Linked DNA regions of Bombyx mori. The protein of the gene in region 4 interacts with the protein of the main gene of each other region in a biochemical or structural test. Links are inferred from orthologs where the notes say so. Each region holds a gene or a part of one and is shown on either strand. Other genes may lie near its edges.

Region 1 (8,268 bases), on a different chromosome or scaffold from region 4:
GGAAAGAATTCAGTCAGGTAAGGATTGTGTGTTACTGTTGTTTTTTAGCGTGCAATTCATTATTTTTATTCTAAAATTGTATCATAAAATTGTAGTTTGTAATATTAAAATATAATTTTATGTGTGTGTCTTGTGAATTTAATAACAAATGCTTTTTCATATTACAACTAATGTAGAAACGAATATAAAAATAAGTAGATTTAAACAAAACATTATTTTATTATTGCAGTTGGAAGAAGAATTGTGAATCCTCTTTGTGGTTCACAGTTTGTTGATCAATTGTCAGGCACGAGACAGTTTGACGACTTCGTGGAACCTGGTTATATTAATTTCTACACAGTTAGTCCCAATTACTTTTATGTACACAATGATAACAGAAGAATCAGAATTTCTCGAAGTGCGAGTGGGGCTGGAAGTCTTGTTGTGTGTCATTCAAGAGCTGTTGCTCAACCAAGGTATTATGTGTTCGTTCAATATATACTTAGTCTGGCCATAAATACCGTTACAAAGGAAAACAAAAAAAATTCTATTGCAAATAACATTTATTACTTTTACAGTGTGTTAGTTTAATACATAAATATAAAACAATTTAAAGTATAAAAAGCTTATTCGAAGTGGTCTCCATTGGCTGCAATACAGTCCTTTAAACGTTGAGGCCAGTTATCAATAGAACCACGCACTCTTTCCATGGGATTTTTTTTTCTGCCAATCGGATTGTTTTAGGGACTCCAAATTATCATGGCGTTTAGAGCAAGCCGTACTCTCTAAAACTGACCATAAATCATAATCCAGCGGATTAAGATCGGGACTAGACGACGGCCAGTCTTCAGCTCTGATGAAGTCCGAAACGTTCGTTTCCAACCAAGACTGCGTAGACCGAGCTTTATGACCTGGCGCCGAGTCTTGCTGGAAACACCATTCTTGATTATTGAACATGATGTTGTTAAGGGGCTTCATTACCTTCTCAAGAATGGTATCTTGATACACTTGTGCCGATGTTTTGATACCTTTTTCACAAAAGTATGGCTCCGTCACTCCTTCATAGCTAATACCCCACCAAACAATCACTGAAGTCGGATAGTACCCACGTAGCACTCTGTCGACTAAATGGGAAGCTTTCTTAGAGCTTTGAGCATAAATACGGTCATTTTGTTTGTTAAAATGTTGCTTAATTGTAAAAATTTTCTCATCCGTAAACAAAATTTTTCTATGACCTCCCTTTGCGTACCGCTTCAGTAGTTGTTTCGATTTTACCTCCCTATTCTCTTTTAAATTATCAGTCAAGAAATGACCAGTACGTCTCTTATGGGCTGCAAATCCTAAGTCATCTTTTAAAATACGCGACATGGTTCTAGTGCTATCTTCATCTCCCAAGATAAAATCTTTTGCTTTCGGACAGGGTTTCTTCGAATTCTTTCCCTTACTGCTTTAACCACCTTTTTTGAACGAACACTACGTGGAGGGCCAGATCTTTTTCTGTCACAAACAGAGGAGATCTCATTGCACCTATTAATAGCCCGGTACACAAACATTTTACTAATACCAAGCGTATGGAGAGTTTTAAAAATTGCATTTGGCTCCATACCTACTTTGTGTAATGTGTAATGCAATCACAGCGATTCGGTTCTCTTTATCACCCCACTCCATTTTAATATCGCAAAATATTGTACAATGTATTGCATTGCAATCATATAAAAACGACAGATTCCAAATTCAAATGTAATATTTTTTTATTTTTAATTGTAACAGTATTTATGGCCAGACTAAGTACATATAATTTAGAACTCATATAAACATACGTATCTATGTATATTTTAATTCAGTTATTCCGTGAACGTAGTTAAGTATTCCTTAGATTTTTATAATTTTTTCTTAATTGCAAAACATGGACAAACAAGTTCATGCTCCACCCGGTTTTAAGAGCTTATGAGAGACCATCGTAATACCCTTAAACTTCACAGTTAAGTAGAAATTTCAAAGGAGCGGCCGACAATATTATGACGCTCCTGGACACTCTTCTGGGGTAAATGCAGGAATCCGGGCAAAAAAATAATAATGGTCTTGGTATTTAGAGTTTACAGATCACGATACACAACGCAGTTCACAGGTTAATTACGATAAACTCAGCATTAAAAAAACAACGGACAGTGCTTGCCAATTCCTTCCATTCTACCCTATCTAGACTCTGCTTACGTTTACAAAGTTTTGTGACGTAAAGAAAAGTAAATATTAAACTTGTAAATGTAATTGTGGTACCAAATCGTGCGGGCTCACAAATTCGTTCTTGCACCAGTAAATGCCAGTAGACGATCGCTTTAGAAATAGTCTAAAAACGCTGTTGCCACGGGAAAAGGATGGTATTATTCGAGATGCCTTTAAAAATTCTTTGACTTCCAGACGCAACACAACAATAGTAGGACTTGATCCAAGCGCAATAACTTGTGAGAATTTGGCTTCCACCGGAAATATTGAAATAAGGCTGCAGAATGCTTGCGACAGTTTTTGGACCATAGGATCATGTCCACCACTACACATTTCCGTACAATCAGAAACTGGTGGTGTTGATGCCACAAGCGCGATTTGCACAGGTATGATTTACATCCAAAATTATATGGGTATTTTACTAATATTAATAATAGTTATGTCACTTTTTAATTGAGTACCTAGTAAGTATTGACTAATAAGAGATTCATTCAAATTATATGTTTTTTCCTCTTACACCTTTTTTAACAAATTTCACATAAAGAAATGGTCATTCCTAATGGACTGTTTTTTAATTCTAGATGCTTCGGTATGCAGATTCCCATACAACATTAGATATCAAGTCCAAATTGAAGACCTGGGGTGTTTTAGTGGAGCATCAAGTCTAGGAGCCAGCCTCGCAATTATTCTGACTTCTTTGTATCTCGCAATATTCTAACTGCGGGTATTAAATTTGGAGAAGCGTTATTTTTTCCTACCGATAGTAATAGTACCAACCTACTTTTAACACAAAACAAATCTATAAGTTATCGTTCATTTTGAATATCGTATTTTGTTTCATACACGTGTAGTTTAAGATTTCCAATTTACAATAAGATTGTACAAAAAGCGTGGCGGAGCCTATTGAGTATAAAACATTAAATATTATAATATATACATATTATAAAAACCAGATATAACAGGGTTTATTGTACTTATTTTATACAAAATATAGTTTCCATATATAATACATTAAGTATAAACGTAGACTTTAAGCAATTTTCGTGTTTTTTTATAAATAAAATCTACTGTAACAAATAGCCTTTGTATTATTTTTTATTCTATATATGTTATTAGTTCTGAGTTATTTGGTAGGTGAGCTCGCGGGGCTCAACTTGAGTGTGCTAACACTGACCGTAGCAAGAACTATGCTTCGCAGAATCTACCACCGGAACCGAAGTACAAACACATCACTAAATCAATGGCCCCATTCATGAAACCGGAAGGCATTACCTACTACTTCGTCATAGATAATGCACTTATTATGTTTATTACTTCGTTAGAGAAATAGGCAGGGTGAAATTCCACAAGACGATCTGGGTCGTTTTCAAATTTGAGGCCAAACTATCGTAAAGCTATCGTATCGTAAACCAAGTATTGTATTAATGTTATCTTATAACATTGTGTCGTAATATGAAAAATTATATGAAGCGAAATGAGACATTAATCGATTGGAATTAATTTCCATCTTCTTTTTCATCGTTCTCTCACCGCTGAGGATCGCGACCACATGTGATTTTCATCCACAGTGTTTGATCATGGGTGGCATGGACCGCATGATATAGACTACCACCAACCAGATCTGACCATCTGGCTGGCGTTCTGCCTACGACGCGCAAAAAAAAGAAGGTATTGCGATTTAGACTATTTATTTATCAAATTTGATCTAACGCTTTTTAAACCTTTTTATTTTTAATTAAGCACGGTCATCCGGCCCCAATTTAGGATTCCCTGTGTTACGGGTACCAGAGACTACTAACATACTTATATACGTTCAAATATATACATATGTATATAGATAATAAACACCCAAACAAAGAGCAAACAAACTGTTCATCACGCAATGTTTGCTCGATGTGGGAATCTAACACATAACCCTCGGCGCAACAATCAAGGCCGCTAGGTACTGTACCTCCGAGTCAGTCCTAAACAGTCCAATATGTCATGCAGTTCAACTGACGCACAGGGTACATCTGTAAAATACGTTTACGGTTGCTGTTACACTAATGTTATGAATTAACCCACCAACGCCATCTAGTTTCTTTTTGTTAACTTTAAGCCAATATTCCCCGGATTAAAAAACTCATGGGATGATTATTCATTCATTAATTGCGTGGATGTAATTCAGAGTTTATACGAACATTACGTCGAAGATTACTCTTTAAATTAAATCTTTATCAGTATAGGCTATTTCCTTTTACCGCAACAATTAGAAAAGTCAGTCTGTCAAAGCTGTCACTGCCACTTCAAAATCTCACCTGATTATGTTTTTAAAAATAGTAAACAAGTCGAGCATTGTAAATGTACGCATTTAATTTTCAATAGTTACCTTAAATATTTACCATAAACATTAAAACGCATACATTATGTCCGGTGAAGACTGTGATGGTATGGACCGTGGGGATAACGATGGTCCAAAATCCGATAAAATGTTCACATTGAAAAAATGGAATGCTGTTGCAATGTGGAGTTGGGATGTTGAATGTGATACTTGCGCTATTTGCCGCGTGCAAGTAATGGGTAAGTTTTTAATTATTTATGTTGTTTATGAATCAATTCATAGATATTCATCAAAGTGATAGTGAGTCAAATTTATTTAACAAATTAATTGCTTGGACAAGATGACAGTTATTTTCCAGATTAGAATATATAGAACTATTAAAGAAAATATTACTACCCTACTATAATCATATTACAAGTAATATTTAGTGTGCTGTGCCGATCATAATTAGAACTAGATTTTGAGCACTAAGTATGTTTTCTTAAAAGTATTTTATTTTTATTTTAAGTTAAGATGAATGTTGCCAATTAGCATTGAGAGTCATTACTTTTTTTAAAATGATTACATTATTTAGGGATAGAATATAATTACTAATATATTAAACAAAACAGTAGTAATATTGTTCTATCAATGTTATATATTTGGATTTTCAAAATTAAAAATGTTGTGTGCGTGTGAATTATTCTCAAACTATTTAATTACGCTTTAAATTTAAGGCCATAATTAAGGCATTTTAGTTTAAATTTCATTATATTACATTGAAATAATCCTGTTTATTAATCCATCAATCTGTTAAAGAATTGTAAAGAATACTGACTTAAACATAAATATTATTTTGCCGTAGTAAAAGCAGAATCGATTGATCATACTTTCTTTAATTCTAATAATTCTCTCTTAATACAACATAATATAACATAATAACACCTAGGTCCTGGGTCATGTCCTGGTTCTGGGTGGGCTATATACTTTTGAACATTACCAATATGTCTCCTCTTAACTTGAACTGTTTACTAACTTTCATGAATGGAAACATAGTTACACTTACAATTCATATCAATATGTGTGCTTGTCAAATTAAACAAATAAATAATAATAGTCATTGGACCGACAAATCAATATGTTTGAAAGCTGTACAATATAGATTCCATGTGGTCTGGCCCCCCTTGTTTCGTAAAAATAATAGTTAACTATTGTTTTCTTAGTTAGTTCTAAAATTTGAAATTGCAGGTACATATAACTCTATTCATAGGCACAATTCGATTAAAAGAGATTAGTACAGTGCCTTCAATGTAATGATTCTGTGAATTGTAATGGTTCGAATTATAATTTAAGGATGTGACTCTCTTTCCATTAAGTGAAATTTATTCTTTAGATCTTACCATTTATTTTCATATTAAAGTTTAAAAAAAACATTTTTTATTACAACTAATATAAGTAACTATTTTTTTTTTTTTTTATTGCTTAGATGTGTGGACGAGCTCACAGCCCACCTGATGTTAAGTGGTTACTGGAGCCCATAGACATCTACAACGTAGATGCGCCACACACCTTGAGATATAGTTCTAAGGTCTCAGTATAGTCACAACGGCTGCCCCACCCTTCAAACCGAAACGCATTACTGCTTCACGGCAGAAATAGGCGGGGCGGTGGTACCTACCCGTGCGGACTCACAAGAGGTCCTACCACCAAACTAAATAAGTAACTTATGATTTTAACTTTACGGCATAGATTAAACTCTGTTATAAGATTGCCAAAAAGCTTAGTATTTTACATGAAGTAGTGTATGATACAAACTACAAAATAAAATCATTATAAATAGTTACTAAATGTAATAATTTCCCAATAAAAACTACTAAAATACTTTGGCATTCATGTCATAAATTATAATCCTCGTAAAGTCTACCTACCAATAGAACCAGTTACAACAACTAAGTATGATACCATTGTACTATTAGATATAAGATTTTTTTATAGAAATCTTTTTCTACACAACGTTTTTACTGCCTAAAAATTGTGAAAAGAATATAGTAAAAGTTATTAATTGCTACTTTAAAGCTAATTTTATTCAATTAATAAATGCTTAAAACATCTTCTTAGCATCCGTTTGGCAAAGGCTTAATGTTTGCTATCGAGCTTAGTCGACGAGTTCTGGGTTTCTCTTCTCTACCGGTTATTTTATTTTCAATTTGATCAAGGCTTTTGCCTCTCGTTTCTGGTACGCAAACAATAACAAAGAATAAGCCTACAAAACAAATACTCCCGAAGAGCCAAAACGTGCCCGCCGCGCTGATCGCATCAACAATGTTCTGAAATGTTTTTGTTACAATAAATGTACATAGCCAGTTAAATGCCGTGCAGATTGAAGCAGCGCTACCTCGAATCTTTGCTGGCAAAATTTCACCCATCATTAACCATGGTATTGGCCCGAAAGCCAGTGAGAATCCTAACAAGTATATCATAACGGTAGTCAGTGGTAACCAACCCAAATCAGATACATCTAATTTTGCTTGGTATTTAACATAGAAGAATGTACCCAAAATAATTAAAGTAATAGTCATGGTCACTGAAGAGATATATAATAACAATTTTCGTCCAGCTCTATCTATTAGCGCCGTAGCGACAAAAGTGGAAGCGAAATTAACGATTCCTACAATAATTGCTGAAAGGTTTTCGTCCACAGAACTTCCTGACATTTGAAATATTGTCACAGTATAGAATATGACGGCATTTATACCAGAAAGCTGTTGGAAAGCCATCAAACCGAGAGAAATAAGTATCGCCTTCGTATATTTGATGCTAAAAAGATCTCGTATGCTTGCATCATCGGCTTGAGCCTCTGCGTCTGAAACTGCAATCTCTCGAATTTCACTCTCGATATCACAATTTTTCCCTCTAAGCCATTGTAGTGCTTTTCGAGCTTCTTCCATGCGACCATGCGAAATATACCATCGGGGTGTCTCCGGGATAATGAACATCAAAATAAAGAATGGAATGTTCATAGCAGCACCCAGAAATGCAAGCGCGGACCAGTCTAAATATGTGCCAGCTAGGTAACAAATTAAGATACCTATGTTACCAATTGCTGTAGGGAATAGTCCTAAAGTTCCTCGGACTTCTGGTTGGATTGTTTCCCCTAAATAAACCGGAAAGGCTAAAGATCCCACACCAACACATAATCCACAAATAGCACGCCCGACAAAAACCAATTCGACAACGTGTGCTATGGCTATAACTATCCATCCCACGCAGAATGGCGGAGCTATAAGTAGTATAGTTCTACGCCTTCCTAAATAATCCACCAAGGGTCCACCGATCACTCCACCTGCGAGTGCCGCCAAAGGCATCAAGCTTCCAATCCAACTAGCCTGCAAAAAAAAAGTTAAAGTAGATTTATGGATAAATATTTGTTTGTAATCAATTAAATTACCGACAAAATAAAATATACTTGCCTGTTCTTTACTGACTGATATAACAGTGCTATTCTTCATTGTAACAAGACCAGTTGAAGTGTAACCTGACGAGAATCCTATAATCATGGAGCCCATCGATACAGCAATAGCAGCTAAAACCTGGAAATAAAATAAAATAAAGTAATTTTATTATACTTTCACAAGACACTTAACCATAGTCGTGTTTTAATCTTTTTTTTTTTTTATTGCTTAGATGAGTGAACGAGCTCACAGCCCACCTGGTGTTAAGTGGTTACTGGAGCCCATAGACATCTACAACGTAAATGCGCCACGCAC
Region 2 (6,703 bases), on a different chromosome or scaffold from region 4:
CACAAGTGTTCTGTGACTTCGGACCAGAGTTTACGGTGTTAGATGTAAATGGAGAGAATCCAGTCTCAGCTATGATTGCAGCCATTACGCAAGACTATGAGGCAGTTGTGACATGTTTGGATGATACTCGTCACGGATTGGAGGATGGCGACTATGTTACGTTTAGTGAGGTTGGTTTAACGTGTAACTTGGTAGTCAGCAATCAAAGTTAATTTGCCCAACTCATAGCACTAAAAATAATGAGTGTTTTGAGGTAAAAAACAACATGACTCACCTGGTTGAATAACCTCTCTGACTATAAGATGCTAAAGATCAATTTCTTGCATAAATTAATATTATCTCTCAGGTTATCCATAAAATCAGATCAGGTCAATAATTTTATTAAGTAAAACATTCAAAATTAATTAATATTGTTTACAAGAAACTTCTTAATGACAATAATATTTAAAAACTTTATTATCTACAGGTTCAAGGTATGACAGAACTAAATGGCTGTGAACCCCGCAAGATCAAAGTCCTTGGTCCCTACACTTTTAGTATAGGTGATACTACAAACTTCTCCAAATACATCCGAGGAGGTATTGTTACACAGGTCAAAATGCCCAAGAAGATCAACTTCAAGCCTTTGAGTGAATCATTCAAACAACCAGAATTCTTGATCTCTGATTTTGCCAAGTTTGAATATCCACAGCAGTTGCATTTGGCTTTTGCTGCTCTTCACAAGTTCCAGGCTGGAGAAGGTCGTCTGCCAAAGCCATGGAATGATGAAGATGTGGCAAAATTCAAGCTGTATGTGAAAACTGTTCTAGAGGATGGACTTTATAAGGATGAAGATTTTGAAGTGAATACTGAATTATTGGAAACATTCTGTAAGGTAAGCGGTGGTCTAAAACATTGTTACACTAGTCATCAATAAGCAAAAAAAAAATTATAAATAAAACCAAGTAATCTATATATATAAAAATGAATTACTGTTCGTTAATCTCGCCAAAACTCAGGAACGGCTGGACCGATTTGGCTAATTTTGGTCTTGAATTATTTGTGGAAAGCCCAGAGAAGGTTTAAAAGGTAGATAAATATGAAAATGCTCAGAACTAAATAAAAAAAAAAAATTGTTTTTCCTTTGATGTGTTGGCCGTCAGACGATTCCTTTTGTTTGTTTTAAGTTTATTTTATACAAAAGTTTAGTTTAGACTGAGGCACTACGAAGTCTGCCGGGTCAGCTAGTTTTAGATAAAGATAATATTAAAATGTATTAAATATTATTTAAATTATGTTTAAATTAGTAGTAGTACTGTGAGTTACAGCTTATTGCTGTACAATAATAATAAAACGATTTATTTCATATTAGTTGGGGATATTGTCAAAAATAGACATAAAGAAGAAACAGCAAAAAAGTTAAATTTGGAAGAAAAAAAATACGTTGGACCTCTTATTGGGTCTTAGGATTAAATTTTTTCTTATATTTTATTATAATATTATTTCAGACAGTCCCTTATCAGTAGAAGGCTTTTTATATATTTTGTAAACTTACACCTGAAGGTACAACTCTTCTACTTTTATTGTAAATACAAATTATAATAAAATTATTTTCTACCTTCCTGTTGTCTTTCATATAAACATTTGTAATTACACACTTGAAATACCTGTTTGATTAAAAAAAAAAACTAGTATTTTTACAATACATTAGTGTGTAAAATAATTTATAGACAGTTTATTGCACTTAATGCTTCACTACTATGACATGCTGTTTTTATATGGGCAGTGGTAATTGTTCCATACATTTATTGTGTCCAGGTTTTAGGATAAAATATGATAATTCTGGATGTTTCCATCTTTTCAAAACAATTTCCAGGGAACCAGCATTGTCTCAAAAAATCATGATTATATGATTGGTCTTAACATAACATTTAATTTAATTTCTTTTCCAGATATCGTCAGGAGACCTAAATCCTATGAACGCAGCGATAGGCGGTGTGGTTGCTCAAGAGGTAATGAAGGCTTGTTCTGGCAAGTTCCACCCACTTGTACAGTGGCTTTACTTGGATGCTATTGAGTGCTTACCTAAAGACCATTCAACTCTCACCGAAGAAAATTGCAAACCAGTCGGTTCACGATATGATGGACAGGTAGCTGTTTTTGGTAGAGAATTCCAAAAGAAACTTGGACAGCTGAAGTATTTTATTGTGGGTGAGTATCTGGGACTCTGAACACTTTTAAAAGGATTGATTGATTGACACGTGAGGAGAATGATAATTATTGTCATTCTCCTTATGTGCAAGACTATTCTGGAGTGAAAGGCTCCCATGGTCAACTGATATCTATTCTAGTCTTAATTTATATCACACACTGTATTTTTAATCTGCAAACAAATATTGTTACCATCCCTTGGAACTTGACAAAATTTTCTAGCATCAGTTATTCTGTAAATATGTTATGCTGTTTGGGAAATTGCAACATAAAGTAATAAGTAATTAAAAGTAAAAAGTAAGACTGACGTCGTTGGTCGTCGACTATCGCCTCGACGACCCGTCGGTCGGGCGTCCTCGGGGTGGCGCCGCGTGTCTGGTTGTAGTGTTGACCGCGGGAACCCCCCTACTCTGACCGGGTTTTGACCCCAGACGGAGATCGGACGCCAGGTGTAAGAGTGCAGGGGAGTCGTTTAGTGGGTGGGCCCGCGGTCTGCTCTCAACACCTGCAGATCGTTGAGTCTCACATACCCCGCGCGCCCCCTAGGCGCGGGGACCTCGTAGGAGGTTCGGCCCTCGGCCAGGAAAAAAAAAAAAAAAAAAGGGTTTCACACTCAACTTTATGGAACCTGTGTGCTCTCTTACATATATGGAACATAAATAATTCTGTAAACTCAAGATTGGTAATTTACTAATGAATAATAGTCAATATGAACTATCTGTATGAAGCTACACAAAATATTAGTATAGTATCATATGAAGTTTATCTCTTCAGGTGCTGGTGCTATCGGATGTGAATTATTAAAGAACTTTGCCATGATTGGTGTGGGTGCTGATGGAGGACAAATTACAGTCACGGATATGGACCTCATTGAGAAGTCTAACCTCAACAGGCAGTTCTTGTTTAGGCCTTATGATGTACAGAAACCGAAATCTAGTACTGCAGCTAATGTAAGTTGCTGGATTCGTAATGACATTTGAGATCACTTGTGTACTGCTATAGAGAGCACAAGAGTAGCCATCTACACAGGGTTTGCTTCGAGATTACTCCCTGAACCAGTGAATTTCAGTTTAGTTTCAAATTCAATGTATAAATGTTTTTGCTCGCCTAAGTTTTAATGTTTCCCTAGTTGGTTTCAGATATTACACAATATATATTTTTTTTACTTTATTGCTTATATGTGTGGACGAGCTCGCAGCCCACCTGGTGTTAAGTGGTTACTGGAGCTCATAGACATCTACAACGTAAATGCACCACCCACCTTGACATATAAGTTCTAAGTTCTTAGTATAGTTACAACGGCTGCCCCACCCTTCAAACCGAAACGCATTACTGCTTCACGGCAGAAATAGGCAGGGTGTTGGTACCTACGCGTGCGGAGACACAAGAGGTTCTACCACCAGTAACTATAAATATATACTGTAATACTCAAATACTTTTAATATATTTTTTTTGTCATAGGTAATTAAACGCATGAATCCAGCAGTAAATGTTTTGGCACAAGAAAACAGAGTTTGCCCTGAGACCGAGTCCGTCTACAATGATGCATTCTTTGAAGCATTGGATGGTGTAGCCAATGCACTCGACAATGTCGACGCCCGTATATACATGGACAGACGGTGTGTGTATTATAGAAAACCTTTATTGGAGAGTGGCACTCTTGGAACTAAAGGAAATACACAGGTTAGTAAAATCAAAAGCATTTGAGATACAATTTGAAATAACATGAAACGTTGAATAAAATTAATTGGTTAATGATCAAATATAAATTAGAACCCTAAGAGAAAATAATAGTTATGAATTGATTTAACGTTGTCTAGTACTTATACTGGAAACACAAAGATTTTTAAGTATCATTAACTATTCAAACTTGGTAAATTAAAAAAAAGTTGTTTTGATACTGATATCTGAATCTTCACAATCTTTTAAACATAAATCAATAATATTTCATAATATATAAGTAAAGAAAATATTAAGCAAGATATAATCATATCAAAAGAAATAACATTAATACATCAGTAATTTACGTTTTAGGTGGTTGTTCCATTCCTTACGGAATCTTACAGCTCATCCCAGGACCCTCCCGAGAAGAGTATTCCTATTTGTACGCTCAAGAACTTCCCGAATGCCATTGAACACACACTACAATGGGCTCGCGATGAATTCGAAGGTTTATTCCGTCAGGCTGCTGAGCATGCTGCCCAATACTTGCAGGACCCGAATTTCTTGGACCGCTGTCTTAAATTGCCTGGTACTCAGCCTTTGGATGCTATTGAGAGTGTGCGAGTAAGTGTATATAACATATTTTTTATTACTCGTAGTAAACATACTGTCTACCTAATAACCTGATCACTGCCCTTCAATACAGCTATGCAAGAGTAACGACTATATTAAAGTACTACGCCTTCTCTCATTCAATGTTTCCTAATATCAGTTAACATGCACAGACAAATTTTAGAATGAAAACCCTTCCAAAATGTTTTCCTGTTACTATGAAGTAAAAGGTTGTAGGGGAATGATACCCCGCCCTGCTTAGCTGCTTGCTATGTATTTATAGTAATGAGCAACATACGTTAGTCAGTCAGTGGTTTACATGCAGCGATCCACCGCGGTCGCTGACGCGAATAAACATGTGATTATACCTAGTGTTTTATTGACCGCTCCGATGAGGTTTATGGAGGACAACACGCAACGGACAAACAACTAACACACACACCTCCTCCATCTTCTCCATAAAAACCTCACAAGGTCAACTTCTACAATAGAAACGAAAAATTATACTCATTTCACTCCATTCATTTTATTTGTTTCTCTTGAAAAAAACAAAATGTAAATCTCCAAAATTGTTAAATTACAGAACGCTATAAACGAACGCCCTCACAGTTTCGACGACTGCGTGATATGGGCGAGACATCATTGGGAGAACCAATACGCGAACCAGATCAAGCAGCTCCTTTACAACTTCCCGGCGAAACAGTTGACCACGAGCGGAGCGCCTTTCTGGTCCGGACCGAAGCGTTGTCCTTCACCCCTCGCCTTCGATCCTAATGATGAACTACACGTCGATTACATTGTTGCCGCAGCGAACCTCAGGGCTACGGTATATGGAATCCCATCCTGTGTTGACAGGGAAAACATCGCCAAGCTTGCCGCTAGCATACAGGTACGTAAAACTCTGAATAAATCATTGTTTACGGCAAGAGTAACTCTACTTATGTTGCATCTTGGATCATGTGATAATAGGTTGTAGAACAATTTGATTCATACACCTGGTGCATCCGCTTCTATTTAATAGATATTAACTAGTATCACAGGCATTGTTAATGAAATATCAGACCTATATTTGTTAAAATTTATTATTTTCCTATAAACTAGAACATTACAAACAACAACGAAACAAAAATGTATCCTAGACATTTGATGGTGGTTATTTTATTCTATTTTATAATTCAGGTACCGAAATTCAGCCCCAAATCCGGCGTGAAGATCGCGGTGAGCGACGCCCAGTTACAGCAAAACAATGACGAGATGGATCAAGACAGGGTTAAGAACATGATCGCAGAGCTGCCGTCTCCAAGCAAACTCGGATCTCTTAAGATCACACCGCTAGAATTCGAAAAAGATGATGATACAAATTTCCACATGGACTTCATCGTTGCCGCCTCCAACCTGCGGGCTACCAACTACAAGATCACGCCAGCCGACAGACATCGCTCTAAACTCATCGCTGGCAAGATTATCCCTGCCATTGCCACTACAACATCCGTGGTGGCTGGCTTAGTCTGCCTCGAACTTTACAAACTGGCCCAAGGCTTCAATAAGCTGGAAGTGTTCAAGAACGGCTTCGTCAACCTTGCCCTGCCCTTCTTCGGTTTCTCTGAACCGATTGCGCCGTCGACCAACACCTACAATGAGAATAAGTGGACATTATGGGACAGATTTGAAGTTAAAGGAGAGATTACATTACAGCAATTTTTAGATCACTTCAAAAACGAACACAAGTTGGAGATCACCATGTTGTCTCAAGGTGTGTGCATGCTTTATTCGTTCTTCATGCCCAAAGCCAAGCGGCTGGAACGATTGAACCTGCCAATGTCGGAGGTGGTCACAAAAGTGTCCAAGAAGAAGTTGGAACCGCATGTGAATGCATTAGTTTTTGAATTGTGCTGCAATGATGATGACGGGAATGATGTGGAGGTCCCGTATGTAAAATACACTCTGCCTTAGTCTATTTAATGTGATCTTGAGCCCTCCCAAAGTGGTGCTGAAAAATAATAGTTACCACTACGCAGAGAGGGTTCTATTTAATACCGTGATAGTTAATATAAATTGTGTGATTATATTTGTGCTTCAGAATTTGCTTCAGTCTAAATTTCAAATAATTACTCATAGTCGTTTCGTTTCATTCGTTTGCTCACTGTCAAATGATGATGTGCTGCATTTTTATTATTATTTTACGTCGTGAAAAAGTTTTTTACCAAATTCGATATTTTATTGTAAAATCAGATGGGTC
Region 3 (8,144 bases), on a different chromosome or scaffold from region 4:
GGTTTGTCTTGCATGGCGTCATGGATGACAATCATTACGCACATTTACTGAAAAATACGTACACATAATCGTATCAGCACATTATATAGAACGTAATTGGCCTTTGTGTTAGCTTCATGTTGATTTAATAAAAAATTATTTTGTTTCTTTTTCAATAAAAGTAGCGGTGAAAATATTGATACCTAAATTAAGCACAATGTATGTAACACTGGCATTTTGATGCACTAAATCAGGGAAAAGGCACATAATAAAAATCTAAAACTAATTTCGAAAAAGCAAACGGATCGAAAACGTACAGCTTGGCATCACATATATCTAAATATTGGGTTACATTGTATTGGCATTATTTTCCAAATGAAAATTAGGAGCCTTTTTTTGGTTGTTCTGATTTTTTTTAAAACGTAGAACATATCAAGATATCCAAAGGTCCGTAAACGCTTTATGAACATGGTGCTAGTGTTACGAGGCATAGAGAAAAATACTCTTTGAGTGTATATAAATTATATCATAAATGTTTTTTTAAGTTTTAAAAACCTTTAGAATGAGCTATGATTTATTTACTTTACCTATTTAGCCGTAAAAATCTCATAATGTCTAGGATCTGAATACAGGGATTTTTAATTGGTGGTCCTCGTTATTTTGCCGTATCTTATTTAAAATCAGTTTGTCTAATAACGATTCAACATCCTGCGTATTAATTACAATGGGTACACATATTATGTAGAAATAATGATTGCCAAGATTGTATCTTTTGGTACCTACCCCAATATCCTTTGGTCAAGCCATTATAAAAATAAAATATTAGTGCCAAAGATCTTTAATATATTATGTAGAAACTAATTTCAAAATTCTATTATTTTTAACGATTTTCCGAATCTCCAATATTTGCCTTTTCCCGATGTAATCGTTTCAGAATTGTGAAATACGACCATAACATTTAAAAAGAATTTTTATGTTATCCAAAATTATGCAATGCGTTCACCAGCAAACACAAGATTTTCACCTGAAGGATGGACTTAATGAATTATTAAAGTACTTAATTATTTCTAAGATAAAGTTGTAGTTCGTTAGTTTGCATTTAAAATGCAAAGTTTATTTTTGCGAAAATGTTTATTTAACTTCAATTAACTTCTAAGTAACTTGAGAGATTTATTCAACTAGGTATTTAAATGAGTTTATGCCAATATATGTTGATCTGAGATGAAATTCAAGAAAACTGGTCATTTTTTGCCGATCGATAATAAAATAGATGTGCGAACGGATTTACGTATTATTTTTGTTCTGAAATACATAAAAACTGTTTTAATGGGTTTTTTTGTTTCGTTTTGCCCCAAAATTTTACTTTATTTGAATAGTTTCGTGCAAACATTCGACATTGCATTGATGTACTTGTATATATGTAAACTACTGTAGAGCTTTAACTGTTGTAGGTCTGTTTATAAATAGGTAATAAACTGTAATATTTATTTTGCTTCATGATCTTACTAAACCTTCACAAATACATAACGTAACATAACAGGACTTAACTGCACATTTGTGTTTTCTAAAATTCAAAGTATCAAACATACTGTTTTAATAGTAATAAATGTTAAAATTGGCTACTAATGAATTTTCGTTGAAAAATGTAAAGCTTAAAAAAGGTTATTTAGACTAAAGCATGACTTCTCAAATATTTCTATCATCATTGGCACTACCTTTAATTATTAACATTCCATTTTATTAGGAACTGCCTATTGGCATAATATTGTAACATAATAATGACCTATTAAAGTGTAATTAAAAGAAAATATTGAAATTATTGAAAACTTTGCAAACCATGCAATTAATTTTTTTTAGACCAAATGCATTCCACCCTGCATATTTATAATGAATCTGTATTATCTCCAGTATGTTTTTCTTGTCAAATTAGTTTTATTTATTTATTCTTACTTCTTAATTTAAACAGTATTTTAATAGATATTAAGACTGACACATGATAATGTATTAAATTCACTAAGTATTTAAATGTTATTCGTATTATTTTATAGTCAAGTGGTGGTATTACTTATTTTAATTTATAATGTATTTTGTTGATGGAACAGCTTAAAGAAATTGTTTTAAGCATCTGAACTTTTAACTTAAATAGACATGTAATGTAACCAAATTAATATATAAAAGGTGAAAATAAAGTTTTGTTAACTTTCAAGTTCTTTTTTATTTCTGATAAATATTAACATCTATGTCTTAGGCAATTTGTACATGCCTCCTTGAAGTACCAGTTGATGTGTTCTTACTTTTGTGTCTAAAAATTGTCTCAGCTCCATAAGACTGCATTCAGTGCCTGGAGCTTGGGAAGCAAACATCTTCAACATTTGATGTATTCTGTCCAAAGGCAAACAGTCCAAGTTTGTTAACATGCCTACAATATAAGACCAAAAAACTTGCAGTTCACCTTCCCGCTGATCATGTGCTGATGCCATGGCACTCTCCGTTTCTTCATCTTCACAAATCATTTCCTGTACTTGATGTGAAGGTACACTGGCTTTATTATCAGCTTCAACTAAAACAAAGTGATCTGTACTTTTTTCTGCTATTAAACCCATCGATTGCCAGTATGTTATTTTCCTTCTCAGAATAGTAATAGGAACTTTCATCACCTGATGGAGTTCATCTAACGTCCATTCAGATTTATTTTGGAAATGCATTATCAATGTCGCATTAAAAGGTGAAACTGTCAGATCTAACTTCTTTTCGCCTATTTCTATCTCTAAGTTTACATTTCCAAGGTGTGGTTTCCAGCTTAATGTTCGATTACCTTTTAAAGCTTCATAAGATTTAGTGTATGCTTCAAAATGTTCCTTGATTTCTTCTGGTAATTCCAGACTTTCATCTTTAAATGGTGGCCAAAACTGTGCAGATAAAATCATTGCATTAGAAGTAAATTTCTTATTCAGCTCCTCAATGGTTTTGTCCTGATGTATTAAGGAATTAATTCTCTTTGAATCTGATATATCTTTAAGCATGACTTCACAGAAGTGTAATTGTGATTCACCAAATCTTATTTTTAATAGCTCCAGGTACCTAATTTCTTTTTCTGTATTGATAACACTTTGAGCCAGTAATCTATCAGCTAGTAAAGTTCTATATTCATTAACAAACAATTCCTTGCTACCATAAACATTAACAAGCATAGATATAATATCATTAGTTCTTCTGTCATTTGAATCAACTTTGGGATCAGCATCAACTGGATCAGGATTCCATTCATCCCAAGCCTCATCTTTATCGGCATCGCCATCTCCTTCTGCTGCAAATTTAGCTAGCTCTTCAGCTAACTCACTACCAGCACCTTCTTCTGTCAAACTGCTCACAACACTCCTCACTGTATCTTCTCTACTTCTTAAATAATTACGAACAGGTTTTGTCACTGTTTCCAGTATAACACCAGAAGGATCTAGGTGTCTCAAAGCTCTAATAGTAGATATGTAAGCAGTGAGTATGTCAGGAGTGTTCACGCCTGGGTGAAGAAGCCTTGTTTCTAATGCATTCTGTAACTTTTTACATAGAGTTGGTCTCAAATCTGTTTTTGCTAAACAAATTTTGATGTCATCAACAGCAGGCTGGGAATCAGGATATTCTATAATGATGTTGAAGAGCTGATCAATTCTTGTTTTTGTGTAGCTATGATAGAGATAGTAAGTGAGTTTCTGTTTGAATCTTGAGATTGCATTTTGTATATTTTTATCATCAGGTGGAGGTTTGGAGGAGCCAGCACAATAAATTCTGATCAACCAAGACATTACTGTCGTATTAAGCCAACTTTCTAATGCTTCAATGTGGGACACATCAAAAGTGCCAGTACATACTTTCTGTATATGAGACTGAATTCTCAACTGGATGAAATTAGTTAGAACTTGACCTGTGAGTCTTTCTAACAATTGTAACTCCACCAACTTCCTATTTGTTTCATGAAATACTTTCACAATGTATGCACAGTTACAATCGGAATACTCGTTTCCACAACCAGAACACATTATGTCCTCGCCCATGTCGGAGTTTTCATATTCATTATCGAAAACATTAAAAGATATTTTGTAGAATTGGTTTATAATACACTGAAAGTCGATGGGTAACTGAGACAGAAGAGTAGCTCGGACGAGCTGCTTAAAACCTAATACAAGATTTTTCTCGCCATAAATTAACTTATTATCATTACAACTACTGTTCAATTTAGTCAATCTTTGTAACATGGGTGAGAAACTAGAAACTGCTTCATAGAGATCATTCACTGAAGATTTAAATAGTTGAAATCCTTTAACTTCTTCCGCGGTCTTAATATATTTTGACCAAAAACTAGATGCGACATGTTGTCGTAGATATTTCTCAATATGAACAAATACAAGATCACGTATCTTTATTTGGACACCCAAATTAACTATTAACACTTGCACTTCATCGTATTCAGCCTCAGTACAGTCGCTGAAAATTTTATCATCGAGAATTGGATAGGCATAGTTTATTTTATTCCAGTACAGTTTCAAATCTTCCTTTTTATGATTTATATTCATCATTATTGCAGGTCAGTTATCTTATACATAAGATCTAAGATCTAAGAACGATATCCTCATAAATAAATTAATTAATGTTTACACTTTACTCTTTGCGTTCAATCCTAATATATTAATCTGTGGATATTAAGTGTCTAATCTATGATCTGTGGTCCTGTGCCATAGAGTTAGTATTTTAGCTGAATTTGGCCTCCTTTTTTTAATTTTCAAATATATTTTTTTAATTTTAATTATTTATTCGTCGTTTGTTCGTTAATGTTCGAATGTAAAAATTGTTTGTTCGTCCATTATTTATTTATAATTAAACAAATGATCACTCTTAAGTTAGCCCCTCTTACAAAATATCTTTATTTTTATCGATCAGATTAATTAATTGTGATCAATTATCGTTTGTTCGACAACTACTGGTGATTGCTCGATCATAAAAACAATTAAATTCCCAATTATTAATTTAATATTCTTAGAATAATTAGAAATCACTGAAATTTCTATATGGTTGTTAATATTCAATATAATTAAAAATAACTGAATTTATTAAAACCGGGCGAATCGTACTTTAACGACTAATTGGTCGTCTTCACTGACATTTTTTTGTTGAAGTATTGTTGAAGTTTTCAATATTTTTTTGATCTACCTAGGAAATAATTAGACAGTTTAAGCGCACTTGTTAACAAAACGCTAGTAAATACGGCCATTGATAGGTGACTGACAAAACCGGCGCATGCACAATATAGGCCTGATTGCTTAATAGATATAAAATAATTAATAATTGGGAATTTATTTGTTTTTATGATGCAACAATCACCAATAGTCGCCGAACAAACGATAATTGATCAAAATTAATTAGTCTGAGTGATAGAAATAAAGACATCTAGTAAGAGGGGCCGACTTAAGGGTGATCATTTGTTTAATTAATTATAAATAAATAAAAGACGAAATAACAATTAAAAATAAAAAATCCAATAATTACAAAGGGGGGGGGGCCAAATTCATTGAGCTCCAATATTTCTGACATTTAATTTAGTTCCACGCGGCTAAATAACTCGCCGGATTTTTTTTGTGCAAAATTCCTATTTCACTTTTCTCACAACAAAATATATGGTTTTGGCCTTTGTTATAAATTAAATGGTGTGATTTTATAGGTGAATGAAGTTAGCCCCTCAAAAAAATTTTTTTTTCCTGTTTTCTACTTATTTTCTATTAATTCGTTTGTTCATCATTTGTTCTTGATTGTTCATTGTTAATAATTGTTTGTTCCCCATTTATTTATTTTAAAAAAAATATTAAAAATATATCTAAAAGTTAGCCCCTCGATTGCAATTTTTAAAATTTTTTCGTCCTTAATTACTCGTAAATATTCATTTTCGATTGTTCTTATATAAAATACGTTTGTTCTCTTTCGAAATTACTCATTTTTTGTTTAATTAATTGTATTAGTTGAATAAATGTATACAAAATATGTGTACTGCGCATGCCATAAGTGTATAATCTATGGCGCATGCGTCAACTATAATGCCTAAACTTTCTACGCGGTTTTAATCGTGAAAAAAAAACAATTATAAATCCTGAAGGATCGATTAATTGGTATACAGTTTAATTAAAAAAATTAAAAAATAAATAAATAAAATAATGTGCATTCGCGTAAAGTTAGACCAAATACATTTTTTCCATCCTCCTATATACCTATCGCTATGAAGGTATAAAAAAGATAGGTTAAGAGTTCACATAGGTAATATAAACAAATAAGTAAATATGTTCATTATTTATCTTTCAAGAGATAATGTAGGTATACATTATAATAACATTTTGACACAGTCGAAATTATATTCCTAACATTAGTAATATAACATTTTAATATTTTTTTTATAGGTTATGTATTGAAATTGTTGGAAAATTATTTCATGTTTTAGCTGGAAAACTACATGGAGAATTATATGCAATACAAGATAATGAGCTCCATTAAATGAATTCGAATGAAACCAAACTGTTTACCATCCAAATTCGATTGTCGGGCAGATAGAAAACGAAAATTCACTCATAGTGAACCTCGGCCTGCATTTGTGAAACGGCAAAGACTCACTATTATCAAGGAAATTGAAGAGACGACTAAAAATGAGATGTGTCGTATTATTATACCTTTGCCATCTTGTAGTCAAGGTAGGTGTAACTGTCAATAATTAGTTACACTCACAGATCTCCTAATCAAATAACAATATCAGAAAAAATGAGAATAGTTAGTTAGTTAGTGGAAGTAGCCAAAATGGGCAAGTGGATCTCAGTTCCTATTACATAAGGTACTAGGAAGTTTGTGAAAATGAAAATTTATCACAGTGTAATATCACTTACTTACTTTAACAGTGAAGGAAAACATTGTGATGAAACCTGCATACCTAAATGTTCTTAGGATTTTCTTAGGTGTGTAATCCACCAACCAGCACTAGGCCAGCGTGGTGGACTAAGGCCTAAAAACCCTCTCAATGGTAGTGAAGGCCAGTGTCCAGCAAGGGGATATATTATATGGGCTGATGATGATGAAGTTAGGAAGTTAAATACTACTACTACTACTACGACAGTACACATATAATCCTATATATTTACAAACTATACGTTTGTTGGAAATTGCTAACATTATTTCATATTTCCAGATGTCCAGCCACTTGAAAATAGGTGTAGTAATGACAAAGCTATCCAAGTAGCTCCAGCACAGTAACACAAAGGCAAGGCAAGTGTGTATTGCCACATCACCCCTTAATATATCTGAAGCAAGTATAAGTAAACAATCAGAACCAGCAAAAAAAAAACTGTTGTTCCTGAGGACAAATTTGACAGTGACGAGTCAAATGCACCAGCAACAGAAGGATCAACTGTTGACTATGGGTTATAGAAGAAGAAGATGAATTCATATTTATTTAAATTAATATTAATGAATATTAATTTAAATTATCGTGCAAAATTCGTGGTCAAAACATATGTGTATTTTATAAATAAATATTCATTCTCAGCAAAAGAAGGATCAACTGTTGACTATGAGTTATCTCTCTATATCTCCACTCCATCAAAGACTTGTGCACTTCAGACTATAGCTCTCAAGAAGACTAAAAAGTTGAAAAAATGAATGTGTTAACAACTTTATCTAAAGTGAAAAATAAACAACGTTTATATATTGGTCTTCCACAAGAATTATGTTTCATAATAGGCTTGATTGAGAAACATACAAATGTTTCTGAACAAAATATTATATTATGTCTGATGAGAATAACATTAAATAGAACATTCTCTCAATTGGCTGATGATTTCGATTTATCTGTAAGTCAAGCAAGCAATATATATATATATAATATATTTTTCAACAAACTCCCAGAAATTGCAAATGTAATATCACCCCTTGTTAGACTATAAAAAAAACAATACAATAATTATATATGCAGGAAGGATAATTGATGTCAACTTGGTGGAAAATAGAAAGTTTTTAGATAGTTTGCCACCTACAAAACTCTTTAATTAAATAATAAAGTAATCCTTACTTATAAATAGGAAGTTTTGTAAGTATTTTCACTCTTCATTCAAAAACTACTGAACAGATTTTAATAAGACTTT
Region 4 (8,139 bases):
AATAACCAGCTATCTAATATTTTATTATATTGATTACTAATACCCAAAAAACAAAAAAAAATTCAAGTACTAAAAACAGTCCTTCATAATAAACTAGTAAAAACAAAATAGGGCCCACATTGTTTTTGTCCCATAATTTATATGCATAGAAGTTTAATAGGTTTTTACGGTTAGTCAGCATTATATTAGGGTTTTACATACATTGTTTCATTTGATCATATTATATACAATTACCCATTTCAAGAGAAATGAGCACTAAGCACATATACACACTCTATCCAATGATTTTCAAAGCGAAGTAGTGTCCCTTTGTAATAAGGTAACACTCTACAAAATGCATACACCCAGTCATGACTTATGCAATTGTAGTGTTTGCTCATGCAGTCCGCACTAATTTCAAACCCCTTCAAGTCATGCAATCCCATTATCGCAGGATAGCCATCAGGGAACCGTGATTCATGCGGATCGTGGATCTCTATAATGATCTGGAGCTTGACTCCATCAGTATGTATCTTCAGTTGGCATCACTGTGCCACTTTGAGAAGACGGCACTACACGAAAACTCTCTTATAGTGGCCTACGGAAATTACATATCTGATCCTGCAGACGGAATGGTACACTATCGCCATTGTCTAAATACGTCCTTTCGGATCCTCCCGATCCACGGTATTTTTAGGTATCAACACAAGCACAAGCAACCTCACCGTTCTTATCGAACCCGATGTTGCAGTGGACCCTATTTTGTTTTGAGGAGTTTATGTAGCTTACTTGAAGTCTCTGTAGTTTATTTGACTTTCATACATCATTTCTACTTTCTACATGCTAGTTAATCATACAATTTAACGTAAATTAATAATAATAGTATAAAATAGCTTTGGGTGTGCATGTAAGTTTAGTAAAATGTTGAAAGGAAAGTCTTACTCGACGAGATCGTCAAGACCCAGAAGAGTGAGGGGCTCGTCGGGCGGCAATAAATGACCCCGACACAGCAATGACATACAGCATATCTGCAGTCCGAACGTGCGGCAGAGCCTCTGTTGCAGCCACCGTACCTGACGCGACTCCTCCACCCACATGTAGCATTTGGCGCGCTCATCGGTAAACACACGACGAAGGCACACACTAACTCGGAATCCGCGTTCCTGTAAGTCCATTAGCTCGTCTCCCCGTCGTTTAGGCATTTATGAGATCTCTTCTTAATGTTAATCTGTCAAAGAAATTTTGATTTAATCTACTAATCTACTAGTTTTTAATCAATCAGGAATGTGCTTTAATCTCGGCAACATCACACGAACAATTTTATGAATCTTAATTTGCAGTCTCGAAATCTTTTTCGAACCGAATGTCTTCTTGTTTCGTGATGTAGGTTCCCGTTATTTTATTTCTATTTCATTTATTTTACATCTGTGACACATACATTAACAACTTAATATTTATTGCAATATATTAACAATATTAAATTAAATTAAATAGATGATTTATTTGAGAATTTGAGACGAGACCCCAACTTTAAAGTTGGTAGTACCGTAGTACCTAGTTCTATTTTTCTGACTGGAAAGGTTAAGGCAAAGGTATCGCACCATACAGCGTAATCTTTTATCATTAATTTTTTTATTATGAAAAATGCAGAGAGTTAATTGTAGGTACTTATTAACTCCATAAAAAAATTATAATATGAAATGGAATGAAGTTGATTAATTTGGAACATTAATCAATTGTATGAAATTAAATGAAGTGAGATGAGATGATATGAGATAAAATATAATCTTAGTAAAATTGTGGTTATTTAATGAGCCTTTTTACTGGACTTTTCAGAGGATCCCAAGCAGGTACATCCAGCGGCTTTGTTTCATTTTCCCACATTTGTGCACTTTCACAGATACTAAACATTTAATAAGCCACCGTTGTTACACGTTTAAACCTGAAGGAATTGGTCTTAATATTCAGGTCATACAATCCCTTGTAAAAAAGTAATTCTTCCTAACAAAAACAAAATCAGAAACACAATATGAGATGTGTAGGTATTAAATATCTATGTGTCTAGGGACACAAAATTAAGGAGACCTGTTAATACCCCCGTGCACAAAACAAAACTCTGATGTGGACGTTCCTAGATAAGGAATGTACTTTTGAGTTTGTTGGATTCGCCTCTGAACAAATAAAATACCCACACGACCAAATGGTTTGTTAGAAAAGTCATATTAAAATTTATTTTGCTAAAAGTTAAATGTAACATACTCTGGCAATAATTAGACTACCGTACTTTATGACTTAATCACGAACACTAACGATTACTTCTAACGTCTAAGAGAAGACTAAGTCATCCATGAGAACTACAACTGTAAATTACCTGTACGTAGCGCCGGAAATAATAAAACTACAATAAAAAAAAAATTGTGAAAAGACGTTGAGTTTCAAATGTGTCTACCACACGTGAAGTCGAAGAAAATCTATACTAATATTATAAAGAGGAAAGATTTGTTTGTTTGTTTGTTTCGAATAGGCTCCGAAACTACTGGACCGATTTGAAAAATTCTTTTTCCATTAGAAGCCGACATTGTCCCTGATGAACATAGGCTACTTTTTTATTTTATTTTTTATTTATTTTTTTGGTTTCATGTGTGTTTTAATGTTTCCGAAGCGAAGCGAGGGCGGGTCGCTAGTATTAGATAATAGAAAATAAACATGATTAAGGAATATAATTATAAAGGAAGTGAGCGAATGAAAAATATTAATTGAAGTGAGATATAACACCCTTAAGTGTCCATTGAGATGAATTGAAATCACCTTTCAGAATTTACTGAGCTCAATGGAGTTTTTGGAAGTTGCCGCGAATCTACGTTTAGCGATTTTGTTTCATTTCACGCATTTCTACATGTACTTCAACTGATATTAAATCATAAGTAAGCCACCATTAGGAAAGTTAAGGACCATTACATCTGAATGAACGATAAATTAACAAAATAAATCAATTCACATATTTTGCCCTCTCTCTAAAAAGTCGATGAAACAATTAATTGTTGCCAGTTTCGATTTATAAAATGTTCATGTAGATAATTAGTACAAATCAGCGATTTTTAATTTATTTCCCAATTTTGCGAACTTGCAAATTAGATAAATAAATAAATAAAAATATTCCCCAAAGATATAGTAACAAAAAGTAAGATCGGTCAAGATTATTGAACATAGGTAGCTTAGTATTTATAGCACCTTTCACTTATGTCATAATATCTCTATAGTATGTGGTAGTAAGGAACAGTAAGATAAATTAGCATCACATCTGTGATTTAATATATGGAATTTTATACGTAAATATTTAGTTTTAATTAAGAACACAGTGTGACGACCCATTAAAAATTTTAGCGCATTGTGGAATGAATGTTATAGGAATAGTTAAAGCTACCTTTGCCTAATTGGGCAGGCTAATAAAAAAAATGCAGTTTTATGTTTTGAATTTTGAAAATTTTGATAGATCAACTCGAAATCAAATTTGATAAGTAGTGAACATTTTTCTGAATAATAAAAATTGCATGCTCTGTTGTAGAAAGAGATTAATATTTCGAAATTCCTTCTCAAAACAAATAGAAAAATTCTAAAAACTTAGTGACATTTCGTTTTAGTGTAAAAGGTGATAATAACGCAAGCAAATGCTATGAGCGCCTGACATAAAGAAGGAGAAGCAGAAGCATGTCGAACGTGGAAAACGTATGTCCTCAAGCGTTGCGTGGCGTGGCACGCGAACTCCGACAGCTGGCGGCTAATCCTCCGCCGGGCATCAAACTGCAGCTGCGAGACGACGACATATCTGACATAGTCGCGCTTATCGATGGTCCCGGTAAGAATCTATTCAAATATGATACTGCCCTCACCTCCAGAACCGGTGTGACATTTCGTTAAACAAAAGGCATATCTACTTTCTCATGTCATGTAATAAATCAGAGGTGGAAAGGTAAATGGTCCAATGGCAATGTCTGGATTTGTTACATTGAAGTACATCTCAATATTCAACGTCACAGTTACAATTTATACCGATTTTTTGCTATCTGCTTGATATTTATTTTGTTTTGAATGTCATTACTTATATCTTGCAATGTCTCAATTTTGTATGGAAAATTTGGACATGATTTTTTTTCAATCTGCATCTCCCGTCTTTTAGATATTCAATAATTATGGAGTCCTTTGAAGTCATGGTCTTTCTAAAGATATATTAACAGCTGCAGATATTACATTGTCAGAACTTTGTTTAACTTATAATTTAGACCTCTGAAGAGATGAGGAATAGGAGAATCTGACACTATCTAAAAGTCATAATTTTAAGAAATGTATGATGTGTTCTTTTTGCATATGGGACTTTCTTTAAAACTAAACAATAAATAAATACCTTCATAATGAACACCACACAATATAAGCCACAGATAGGTGAACCAATTCTCAATATATACCACTGCCAGTTATGTTCAAAGTTTTCAAAAAGCTGTTGTCATGTTACATCTTACCTTTATTGGAGAAAAACAAAATCATCCCAAAGAAGTTTAGTTTTAGGACGACATATTTAGTAGTTGTGCAGTTATAGAATGATAGAGAAAATGAGAAAGTCAGGTGTTTTTAGGCCTCTCAAGCACCAGTCCTCCTCGGTTGATTACGACTAACCCATACACAGCCCACTGAGTATCTTGCTGGATCTTCTCAGTAGGTCGCAATTCTGATCTGGTGGTAAATGTTTCAAAGCACTGTTCTTGCTAGGTCTAGTGCTAGCAAATTCTCTCAGGTTGAGCCTGTGAGCTCGCCTATCTGTTCACGAGAAGCTGGAATATCTCCACAGGATACTAGCCAATAAGTAGGGAAAAATTATACATATACACATTTTTTTATGTGTATGATTTTTATGCTTTTTTTTTTCTAATTGAATTAATGTGTCAAAATATTTTTGAGCATTTTTGTATATAGTTGTTATATCTAAAGCTGTAAGCTGTAAGCTGTGTTAAGTAAAATGAGATTTTAGTATGGCCAGAGGTTTAATATTTTTTTTATTGCTTTGATGCATGGACGAGCTCACAGCCCACCTGGTGTTAAGTAGTTACTGGAGCCCATAGACATTTACAATGTAAATGCGCCACCCACCTTGAGATATAAGTTGTAAGGTCTCAGTATAGTTACAATGGCTGCCCCACCCTTCAAGTCAAAACGCATTACTGCTTCACGGCAGAAACAGGCGCGGTGGTGGTATCTACCCGTGCGAACTCACATAAGGTCCTACCACCAGTAAAAACCAGATTCAAGGGTATCAACTAAATTAATGCAAAAGTTGATGATTTCAGCGGAGACGCCGTATGAAGGGGGCGTGTTCCGCGTGCGACTCGTGCTCGGACGCGAGTTCCCCGCCAGCGCACCGCGGGCATACTTCGTCACCCGCGTCTTCCACCCCAACGTCGCCGCCGAGACTGGCGAGGTCTGCGTCAACACGCTCGCACGCGACTGGCGCCCCGAGCTCGGGCTCCGGCACGCGCTCCTCGCTCTGCGCTGTCTGCTCATCGCGCCCAACCCTGACTCGGCACTCAACGCGGAGGCCGCCGCCCTACTGCGCGACCGCTACGACGACTACTTCGCGCGCGCCAAGCTGCTCACCGACATCCACGCGACTCGCAGCCGCGCCCCCGCCCCCGCGCCCGCCGCCGCGCCCGCGCACGCGCCCGCCGCCGCGCCCGCGCACGCGCCCGCGCCGCCCGCCAAGCGCCGCCCCGCGCCTCCCCCCCGCGCAGACAAGCGCCGCATCCTGAAGCGGTTATGAGCCGTCCCGAGATCAAACGATCAGACCACGCAAATGGACTCGTCCAACACGAGCGAACTTTAAGATATTTGCAAAATTGAACTTTAAGTAGTAGGTGAACTTTTTAATAATTTAATGTGTATCTGCAAAAACTGAAATCCTTGCGTTGAGTGTGCGCTGGACAGTCTGCTGCCCTTCCCCCATCTCCTTCCCGAAGCTCTTCCCTCGCGAACGTCGAGTCACTAAATAAAATCTTACCCCAAGTTAATTGAGTTAGAATCCTCCGTGCGGCTGGAGCTGAGCTGCGAGTGGCGCGGCTGGACAGAGCGCTCTGCTGCACGTGACGCTCGGAATATAAATTCACAATATCGCTATTAAAATACGTTTCCATAGATTTAATTCCTAGATTTGTAATATTGTATTGAATTAAAATAGAATAATATATTAATAACTGTGCGTACAAAAATGCGTGTTTTAATTCATAATTATTCAAACAGTAAAAACACCAAATTTTATGCTGTTCGGATATTGAGTACCGAGTACACCGTAATCGTCCGGTGTAGTGGTGTGACGTCACATGTGGGCACGCGTGGGGACGCTGACGAGGTCAGGGCCTCCCCGCAGCTCGATTGGAGGCGATGAGTTGTTCTGATTTGTGCCCTTTTTAAGTTAAGATGAAATTGTTAATGGAATGAGACTTGTTGCAAGGCATTTTATTAAACGGCCTATTTTTTTTAAACAAACCTTATACGGGTGATCTAACAATGTGTGTTTCGCTTCCAAGTAAAATCCAGCTTTTAGTTAGACACGTGTATCAACAGTTATCCGAATTAAAATTGTGAAACCTTTACAGCACGAGGTATCGTTTCACTCACTAATATATTAATTATTTATTTATTATTTAAGTTATTTTTTTCCTACCTATGCTGATAGCCTTGAGAGGCTATTTCAGCTTCGCCCTAACATGTGGGTGAGCTCACGGTGAGGCCCGAGGCCGAACCTCCTACGAGGTCCCCGCGCCTAGGGTGCGCGCGGGGCATGTGGGACTTGTCCGCAGACTGCGGGTCCAAGAATGTTTTCAGGGCCTTACCTACCCACTAAACGACTCTCCTGCACTCTTCGCCCAAGCCTCCGATCCCCTCCGAGGTCAGAACCCGGATGAGGTAGGGGGGTTACTGCGGTCAACACTGCAAACAGACAGCGCAGCTCACCCCAAGGACGCCCAGCCGACGGAGTCTTCGAGGCGAATCGAAGGCTCCGAAACATAGGCCGTCTCGGTACGGCAGTCCGTCAGACCGCCCAGACGATGCCGCTGGTGTCCCGGAATACCCCGCTAGACCAGAACCAGCCTGCCGGGTTGGGCCGCGATACACCGCCAATCCGGTTTGCTCTATTATAGATACTCCTTGGCGGCACGCTAGAGTGCTGGTAGCGCGCCTTTGCCCCCTCAGGTTGCCCCTTGACCTTCACCGGGGGGAAGCCGCCAACTATAGGGGCCAGGACGTACGGGCGTAATCCCTCCTCTAGCCTCCGGCTCGACGGCGACGGATCGGTGCGAAAAAGGAAAAGCTCTCTTTCTCTCGTTCCGCCGCCTCCTGACCGCGACGAGGGCGGCGCGCTGCTCGTCGAATCCAGAGCAACGCGCCAATGTGTGTTCCGCAGTGCCATCCTCGTCGCGGTCTACTTTTTTCTTATTTTTTTTATTGCTTAGATGGGTGGGTGAACTCACAGCTGACCTGGTATTAAGTGGTTACTGGAGCCCATAGACATCTACGACGTAAATACACCACCCACCTGCGCAATGGTGGCACTGCGCCGTCGGTTCCCTTCCGGTTGTTTTATGCAAGTACCGGCTGAAGCAACCGTGGCCGGTAAGCATCTGCGTAAGGGCCTGGCCACAGCTACTGGCGGTGCGTTTTGCGGTACGTTACGAGGTGCGGCGTGTGGCGCGATTTGCGGTGGTATGCCACAGCTAGACTAGTTGCGACGGCGGCGGCGTCAGAGGTGCGCGTATTTAGAGAGCCTTATCAAATGTCCCTATCAAAAGTGGCACGATATTACCTTGAAATAAGTGCGTTCTTAGCTGAAGATATTATTTAATCAAGAATAGGAGCGCACTCAGTTAGAAAAGGAGAGAACTTGGCGAATTTCACACTATTTATTAGGAATATAAGAACTATCCCGATAAATAGATTATTAATAGAAAATAGATTCAACCTTCACAGTGATTACCAGGTTCAAATCTCAATTTACCATTCGTGTTAATTGGCGACGAAACCTATCTTAAAAATTATTTAATGCGCCCATATCCACCGGGTGGTTTAAATGCGGAATAAATAATTTTCGACAAAGGATTATCCCGGGCAAGAGTC

Evidence for each region.
Region 1: the proteins of ubiquitin-conjugating enzyme E2 S (region 4) and RING-box protein 2 form a complex in vitro, tested with the Homo sapiens proteins (3 studies listed by BioGRID). The link is inferred for Bombyx mori from reciprocal best matches to the Homo sapiens genes UBE2S and RNF7.
Region 2: of the proteins of ubiquitin-conjugating enzyme E2 S (region 4) and ubiquitin-like modifier-activating enzyme 1, one has a biochemical effect on the other in vitro, tested with the Homo sapiens proteins (8 studies listed by BioGRID, with this or other methods). The link is inferred for Bombyx mori from reciprocal best matches to the Homo sapiens genes UBE2S and UBA1.
Region 3: the proteins of ubiquitin-conjugating enzyme E2 S (region 4) and anaphase-promoting complex subunit 2 form a complex in vitro, tested with the Homo sapiens proteins (3 studies listed by BioGRID and IntAct). The link is inferred for Bombyx mori from reciprocal best matches to the Homo sapiens genes UBE2S and ANAPC2.

The regions. Positions count from the first base shown.
Region 1 is NC_085111.1:9,081,436-9,089,703, forward strand, and holds the start of RING-box protein 2, read left to right. Parts: upstream 1-3,878; 5' UTR 3,879-4,607; coding exon 4,608-4,761; intron 4,762-5,379; exon of another isoform or gene 5,380-6,615; coding exon of another isoform or gene 6,616-7,887; intron 7,888-7,971; coding exon of another isoform or gene 7,972-8,091; intron 8,092-8,268. Other genes in the region: uncharacterized protein LOC101738136, read left to right, coding at 1-17, 230-455, 2,398-2,588, 2,784-2,920; facilitated trehalose transporter Tret1, read right to left, coding at 6,616-7,887, 7,972-8,091. UniProt on the Homo sapiens protein: Catalytic component of multiple cullin-5-RING E3 ubiquitin-protein ligase complexes (ECS complexes), which mediate the ubiquitination and subsequent proteasomal degradation of target proteins.
Region 2 is NC_085114.1:15,608,656-15,615,358, forward strand, and holds part of ubiquitin-like modifier-activating enzyme 1, read left to right. Parts: coding exon 1-170; intron 171-466; coding exon 467-874; intron 875-1,931; coding exon 1,932-2,190; intron 2,191-2,964; coding exon 2,965-3,140; intron 3,141-3,651; coding exon 3,652-3,873; intron 3,874-4,224; coding exon 4,225-4,476; intron 4,477-5,047; coding exon 5,048-5,353; intron 5,354-5,643; coding exon 5,644-6,417; 3' UTR 6,418-6,703. UniProt on the Homo sapiens protein: Catalyzes the first step in ubiquitin conjugation to mark cellular proteins for degradation through the ubiquitin-proteasome system.
Region 3 is NC_085131.1:8,612,941-8,621,084, forward strand, and holds anaphase-promoting complex subunit 2, read right to left. Parts: upstream 4,682-8,144; 5' UTR 4,551-4,681; coding exon 2,217-4,550; 3' UTR 2,170-2,216; downstream 1-2,169. UniProt on the Homo sapiens protein: Together with the RING-H2 protein ANAPC11, constitutes the catalytic component of the anaphase promoting complex/cyclosome (APC/C), a cell cycle-regulated E3 ubiquitin ligase that controls progression through mitosis and the G1 phase of the cell cycle.
Region 4 is NC_085116.1:174,310-182,448, forward strand, and holds ubiquitin-conjugating enzyme E2 S, read left to right. Parts: upstream 1-3,362; 5' UTR 3,363-3,497; exon of another isoform or gene 3,498-3,620; 5' UTR 3,621-3,687; coding exon 3,688-3,835; intron 3,836-5,318; coding exon 5,319-5,788; 3' UTR 5,789-6,233; downstream 6,234-8,139. Other genes in the region: uncharacterized protein LOC101745345, read right to left, coding at 922-1,181. UniProt on the Homo sapiens protein: Accepts ubiquitin from the E1 complex and catalyzes its covalent attachment to other proteins. Catalyzes 'Lys-11'-linked polyubiquitination.